Bombyx mori: one gene and its partner. The protein of the gene in region 1 interacts with the protein of each later gene in a pairwise test. Links are inferred from orthologs where the notes say so. Each region holds a gene or a part of one and is shown in the gene's direction. Other genes may lie near its edges. The genes, in order: kinesin-like protein unc-104 and liprin-alpha-1.

What was found.
Region 2: the proteins of kinesin-like protein unc-104 (region 1) and liprin-alpha-1 interact in binary tests that used the Caenorhabditis elegans proteins (3 or more experiments, as listed by UniProt). The link is inferred for Bombyx mori from reciprocal best matches to the Caenorhabditis elegans genes unc-104 and syd-2.

The regions. Positions count from the first base shown.
Region 1 is NC_085109.1:3,714,195-3,718,025, reverse strand, and holds part of kinesin-like protein unc-104, read left to right. Parts: intron 1-416; coding exon 417-540; intron 541-1,271; coding exon 1,272-1,401; intron 1,402-1,854; coding exon 1,855-2,029; intron 2,030-2,974; coding exon 2,975-3,111; intron 3,112-3,667; coding exon 3,668-3,769; intron 3,770-3,831. UniProt on the Caenorhabditis elegans protein: Motor protein involved in microtubule-associated anterograde transport. Regulates the transport of synaptic vesicle precursors in the axon of DA motor neurons. Regulates the polarized sorting of axonal proteins.
Region 2 is NC_085129.1:15,096,521-15,100,451, forward strand, and holds the start of liprin-alpha-1, read left to right. Parts: upstream 1-1,207; 5' UTR 1,208-1,495; coding exon 1,496-1,744; intron 1,745-3,931. UniProt on the Caenorhabditis elegans protein: May play a role in regulating the structure of the neuronal region, called the active zone, from which synaptic vesicles send neurotransmitter signals across the synapse. This may be in association with the liprin-beta protein hlb-1.

The DNA.
Region 1 (3,831 bases):
GCGTCAAGTAATAAGATTTTTATAATTCGCCGTTTTAATTATTTACAATTTTATGAATAATAATAAACGAATGAAACTAATCGCGACATAATATAAATGATTAAAAACGAATTAAATTTACTAAAAAATCAGAATGATTACATAGAAATATAATCTCAGTAAAATGGTGGTCTTTTACTGAGATTTTTTCAGTGGACTTTTTGGAGGATCCCGAGAAGTTACGTTCAGTGGCTTTGTTTCATTTTCCCTCAATTGTTTACATTTAAACCTGAAGAAACATTAAATAGACAAAATAAATGTACTTTGTGTTCTTGAGAATACACTGTATAGTTACTTATTACTCGGAACACACGCGATGGCGATGAACACAAATTGTGTCGATAAAACATTGAACAAGTGTTGTGCGTTGGCCGCAGGAGGTGTGCAACATGGCGGCGAAGGCGGCGGCCGAGGGCGGGCGCGACGAGCCCGTGTACGAGCCCTGGGACATGTCGCCCAAGGAACGAGAGCTCGCCACCAAATTCATTAAGCTCATGCAAGGTGAGTGCGCGTTCGATTTTTATTAGCTTCAGACGTATGTATGTTAGTATGTAACGAAATCTTTGAACATGATTTTGACGCCCTTCAAAACGTCGGATTAACTCGAAGTTTGGCATACTTATTAAGGACCGATGACAATTCAATATTTAAATAATAAAAAATTGTAAAAATTGAAATTCAACTAAAAAATGAAAAATAAATAATAGTTTAAAAAAAAATATGCTTTTATAGAAAATCCAACTAAAAAAATTGAAAATAAATTTTACTTACACTATATTTAATTGAAATTAATTAAAATTTGTTTTCTATTTTTTAGTTGAATTTTCTATAAGAGCGTATTTTTTTAGTATTTTTAAACTATTATTTATTGAATCTGTGGTGTGGAGGTATAGCGACAGAGGGAAAATCTTCCACCGAACGGGTGTAATTGCTCAGTAGACCGACAGTCCGAATGTTGTTGTTCGGAACTTGTATAAATGCAAGCTTTGAATGTGTTGTAAACGAGATTCAGGCATCTGTCAAATATCTTGTGTTGCATGATAGCATATAGAATTCAAAATGGCGGTTTGCCGATAAGATGACGTCCTATTTAATAGAAAATTGATTCGGATTAAAAGCTCATTATTGCTGAAGGTAGACAAGCTTACGATTCATAAGTGGTCATCAAGGCATGAAGGGGTCGAAGCCACTGGTTTCCCAATTTAAAATAAAATCAAATGTAATAATTTCAGGAAGAATAGGTTCGACGGGCAAGGAAGTAGAGACCGCAGTGTCTCCCGCCACGCCCGTGGACGAGGGCGTTTCCGCTGACATCTCCACTCCGAGTCTCCTGTCGTCCATACACAGCGCTAGCAGCTTTGAGTGAGTGCTGTAAAAAAAGCAAATTAAATAAGTTGGTAGAGTTGGCAGAATGAAACTTTCCCCGATGCATAGGAAAATAGAAAAAAAAAACGTTTGGTAATCGTAGTTCGAAAGAAGACTTTTTGGCGGGAACGCGAGGAGCGAAATTGTGTCATTTATTTTATTTTGTCTATTTAGTGTTTCTTCAGGTTTAAATGTGTAATAACGGTGGTTTAATAACTATTTCGTATCTGTCAAAGTGCACAAATGTGGGAAAATAAAACAAAGCCTCTGGATATAGCTTCTCGAGATCCTCCCAAAAGTTTGCCTACGTTTGCCGCTAGGGTAGTAGCTGCATACAAATCTGAGTTTAACGCTATCGAGAACGTTAAAAAACTCGCACTGTGCACACTAATTAGTCTGCAAAGTACAGGCTCTCGCAGTGATGACGTAACGGTAACGGTAACTGTGCAGGCTGTGCTCCCCGGAGCGCGCGATGCTGGAGAAGGCGGCGTGCGGGTGGGGGGCGGCGGGCGGCGCGCTGTACGTGCCCGACTGCGAGGAGGTGCGCGTGTCCGCCGCCGTGGCGCGCCGCGGACACCTCAACGTGCTGCAGCACGGCACGCACGGCTGGAAGAAACGCTGGCTGGTACGACAGTTTTTTTTATAATTTTATGACCTGGTAACTAAGACCTTTAGGTCATGCCTTATTTTAATTCATATTCTCATTTTTATGAAAAATGATAATATGGTGTGAACTGAAATGAGATGAGACATTAATCAACTGAGATGAAATTAAATGAAACCAGATGGGATGAGATGATATAGGATGAAATGTAATCTTAGTAAAATGGTGGTCATTTATTGAGATTTTTTCAGTGGACTTTTTGGAGGATCCCGAGAAGTTACGTCCAGCGGCTTTGTTTCATTTTCCCACATTTGTGCACTTGCACAGATACTAAACAGTTAATAATTCACCGTTATTACACATTTAAACCTGAAGAAACACTAAGTAGACAAATTAAAACAAATCACACAACTTCACTCCTCGCGTTCCCGCCAAAAAGTCCCGCAGTTTGTGATATGCACTTTAATCTCAAAGCGCAGTGGTAACCGGCATCCATAGACATCAACCATTTCAATGCCGACCTCACCTTAAATATGAGCTCTAAGTCTTAGTGTTTACAAAGCCCACCCTATGCACAAACCCAAACGCACTACTGCTTCACGGCAGAAACAGGAAGGGTGGTGGTACCTACCCGTGCGGGCTCACAACTCGCTCTACCATCACTATCACTAGTTACACTAATTATAATTTTTGGAGGTTTGATTGTATTGCACAATGCTATTCCTGCACTGTGGAATATTCACAAGGTATGGGGTTAAGTATTTATATACCTGGTGATGAAATTGTATTTGTAAACGCAATGCTTAGATGGTACCGTGTGATCTCACTTTTCTGTTCAAATTCCGAAATGGTTGGGGTGCTTGAGTGCGCTTGCGCTTGATCGATCCACTGTACCGTCCGTGTCCTGGGGATGCGGACGGTACAGCCACCAGACGAGTGGGTCTGATCGGAGCTCGCGATGTCCAGGTGGTCCGGAGGCCGTACGTGTTCATATACCGCGACGAGCGCGACCCCATCGAGCGCGCCGTCATCAACCTCGCCAACGCGCACGTCGAGTACTCCGAGGACCAGGAGCAGATGGTGCGCATGCCCAACACCTTCAGGTATAACACCATCCGATACAGTATTATTACTACTTGTTACTTCTGGTTACTACTACTTACTACTAGTCACTACTGCTATTATTACTACATTCATAGTTATATTGTCAAAAACATGCTTCTTATAATTTCTACATATTCTATAATCATGATACTTCTATAATCACAGATTTCGTCAAATAATATTAAAGGCAAACAAACAATATTAATCTATACTCAATTTGACTACAGACTTTAACAATAAACAAAAGAGTATATATGCGTATGCGTGTGTAAAATACATGGAATGTAATGTGTTTTTTTATTGATGTAATATATTTTGTAGGCATAATAAAAAAAAATAGCATTGTGCACTTCTCTATATTCTCTATAAGTGTGTGAAATTTCATGCTCCTCCGTCCGCACAATTTTCGTAAAAAAGGTGTACAAAGTTTTTGCTTCACGTATTAATTTATAGATAATAAAAAAAATATAATATAGTATGAATTTTTCACATTAAATTATTTCTTGACACAACTAAAGATATAAAAGTTAAGTACATCCTACGTATATATTGTAGTGTGGTGAGCAAGGAGCGCGGCTACTTACTTCAGACGTTAAGCGACAAGGAGGTGCACGACTGGCTGTACGCGATCAACCCGCTGCTCGCCGGACAGATAAGGTGAGACCGACGCCGCGTGCTCACAGCACACGCGCGACCACTAACCGAAATACTCAAAACAA
Region 2 (3,931 bases), on another chromosome or scaffold:
TTGTATTATTCCAACCTGGAAATTAAGTATTCAAGGCAATTTTAAAAAGTAGTTTTATGTGGATAAATTGTTATTAGCCGTTTCCATGATATTTAGTTTTTTTCATACCTATTTAACTTACTTAACGTACCTATTTAATTTATTTAATGGTAGGCAGCGGCTTGGCTCTGCCCCTGGCATTGCTGAAGTCCATTGGTGACGGTAACCACTCACCATCAGGTGGGCAGTATGCTCGTCTGTCTACAAGGACAATACCTACTAGTATAGAAATTGTCATATGTATTTTTTTTATTTGTATTTTTTAACTTGATATTAGACTAGTAAGTCTAATAAATCAAGGACGGTCTGAACTAATATCATTTGGCTCGTGGACTTGTGCATCTTTCAGTGAATGCAGATGCTTATGGAGCCAGGCAGGCTATGTGGGACTTGATGGTGTGCAGACGTTGGAAGTATACCGCGGGCCCGAGGATATTTTAGAGCTCTACTCATCAAATAATTCCCCTTGCATTTTCTCACTCGATGTTCGTTCTCTGCCCAGCGTTCAGAGCCCGGAAAGATTATAGGGTTCCTGCGTTCAACATTATAACCAGAATGGCAGGGCCAACTCGAGGAAGCTCGATCGATGGATGGTCAAGGCGATGGTCGAATAATCTACGTAGGCCATCTCGGTACGCCACCCTGTCAGGCCCCCCCAGGACCCAGGCGGTCCCAGTGGTGTCCCGGGATACCCTACTTGGTCTCCATACCGTCCCATTTAGATTAAGTTGAACATAGATGGAAGGATTTCGTCAAGATTTTGCTACTTTTCGCGTAAAGGGCTATGTGTTCGCATTTCATATTACACGAAACAATTCTAAGCCGCACCAAAACCTTAGATCAGTGGTTCCGCAAATGGCGCATAGAATTGAACCCCACGAAAAGCAAAGCCGTGTTATTTCAAAGAAGGAACTCGACGCAAAGTTCTTCTAATTTTGAAATTTTGAAGTTTTTTTAATTAATTAATTGAGTTAATTTTGATTCATAGATTTTTAGTCTTTTTAATGAATTTCAAAATAATTGAAGCTTTTTATACTTAGTTAAACTATACTTTTGAAACCGAGACTAGCGTCTTTTTACTACAAAGCTGTTGAGTGTATAAGTTTTATTCCCTTTGCCGATCTAATCGGAAAAGTCAAATAAAAAACTCCTTCATCTGAATTTGACGGATTGACGTTCCATTCCAAGATGGCCGACATGCCGCTTGTTCCATGATAGAACAGAATCGTAAGAATACGATATTTAGGTGTGTCTATTTAAATATCGAACTAGAATGTCTCCCGAACTTTTGATTAATATTTTATACGAATATTCCGAGTATGTGAAACCGCTTCCCCGCGTTACGTGCGCTAGATTTAGGTAACGTTTGTGCCGGAACATATGCACTAAAACTGATCGAAATCGTGTTTTCTGTGTGTCGTGTACCATAGGTCTTCTGGTTTAATGTTAAATTAAAATGTGGAATATGATGTGCGACGTGATGCCTACGATATCGGAGGACAGTATCAGCCAGCGGAGTTCGCAGGTCTCCGGGGAGGATGCGAACTTTGAGCAACTGATGGTGTCTATGTTAGACGAACGCGATAAGTTGGTTGAGAGTTTGCGAGAGACTCAGGAGCGGCTCGGTGACTCGGAACTGCGCCTCAAGGAAGTGGAAAAGGAGAGAGATGCCCTTCATAGACAGATCGCCGCCAACCTACCACAGGTTAGTGTCTCCTTCCTAACTTTAGAATGTCAATATGAGTTTCAGCTCCAAAATTTATATCTTGTTTTAATAAAATAGCAAAGAACCTATCTTAAAAAGGCTCAGTTCAAATAGCCCTTCACCTAAACATTGTACAACTCCATTTTCCAATATTTAAAATCATCAAGAGATTATAAGTAAGTTAAGAAAGTTAGTATCTAATTATAATTTTTGAAATATATTTCAAACAGGTTTTAGTTATTTATTCTAATTAAAATTAACACTGAATAACTTATCTACCAGAAAAAAAAAACTAAAACAGGATGGAAAATGTCAAATTTAATTTTGTTGTTTTCTTTAAAACATTTTTGTTCAATAACAATTTGAGTATCAAATCAACTTAATTACTTACTATATTTAGTGAATTAGAAATCTTAATAAATAAATAAAAATCGGAAAGTTTTTTTTTTATTTGCTATTTCATATAAAATCAGAACAACAAATCAGTACTTTATTACTGATACTTAGAAAACATGTTTCACTGTTTTGCAAAAATGGTACTTGAATGGTATTGTAGGGAACATCTAATACACTATAAGAGTATGAAATAGATGTAAAAAACTAAACAAAAAAATCATTTTATTCCCCATAAACAAGACAGAGTGAATTGATAAGCTATTTCGCTCTTCAAACCATTCATAATGCAAGAAAGCTTTATGCCCAAAATAGGTGGGAAAGTGTAATTTTTTATATTCCAGGAACGGTTCCTGTTATGGTTCCATTGAATTAATGTATGTGGCATGTTACTAGAAGTTGATCTTCTTCACAATGCAGTCACGGCAGGGTGTAATCAGGTTCTATTAGTTAAGATATAAAAAAATTAAACATCCTTCTTTGTGTACAATTAAACATAGTTTTGATAAAACTTTTCTACATTAAGCAAATCAAAGTGAAACAGAACCACTAGGTCAAGGATGAAGTTATAATCGTTGCTCATCCACTGGAACATTATGATCTGATATGTTACTTTACAAGAACATTAATGATATCTTAGAATTAAAAGATAAATATCCATGATTTAGCTTTATATTAAATTATCTTAACACACATTGTGACCTTGAGTTGTATAGTACTTTCACACTTATCAGTTGGAAGTCATCATATTATGCAATTAGGATCTTATTTTTAAAGTGAGTATTCACAGTACCTTAAGTCTTGGGTGAAAACTTATCTAGTGGGCTGTCCTTACAGAAACCATCAAATTATACCTGTAACACTGACATTTTCCAACTTTGAAAATTATCAATCACCATATTATATTAATTGCCCTATGTTATTTTCTACTTAAAACCCCTTTTGCTTAAAGAAAATCTGATGGTAGATTCAGCAGATGTTAGCAAAGTCACTCAAGCAGAGCTGTGTGGGCTTGTACACACACTTATAAATTACACTTGTATTTTTTTTTACTTATTGTACTTGTCAAGAAAAGGGAAGACTAGAGTGGTATACTAGAATGAATGTATTTTCCGCATGTTTAATTGGAATCATCTAATTGTCCTACTCCAGAAGTATCGGTCCTTATTGGCATTAGTAGTTTTTTTTGGATTTAACAAACATCTTAATTGTCGTGTCTTTACCAATTTGAGCTAAAAGACATTTATATGTATGCTTTAATTAGATCTTCACTTGACAGATCACAGACGCAGCCCTGTGATTTGCAACAAAAATGATTAAATTAACAATCTTAGAATATTCAGTTTACCACACCCTAGTTTTCGTTAAACAAAAATGTTATGTACTGGTGTGTGTTGCTAATTTCGCGCAGCGGATGATAAAACTGTTATCAGTAAGGACGTTCTCATACGAAATTAAGCTTATCAACGGTCTTGGTTGAAACATGCAATGTGCATTAAGGACAGAATCGCTCTGGCGCCTGGCGTGTATGGGTCGAGTGCTCTGGGGAATTGTTTGAAATGATCTTGTCATCTCCATTTCACCATCGGACCATGCGTCGTCGGAAAGTTCACCTCTGGTAATTAAATCCGTTGTACATTTGAGGAGAGACCCCACCGGCGTTTTTGTTATAATAAAATTGCGTTTGGCACGGGATGAGCGCTTCAGCTCGAACTGCCCTAGCGCCTTTGAAATCTCTATTGTTTCTCTACTGAAAACGCTCTAACGTTAAGGCCACTCATTAAAACATTCTTG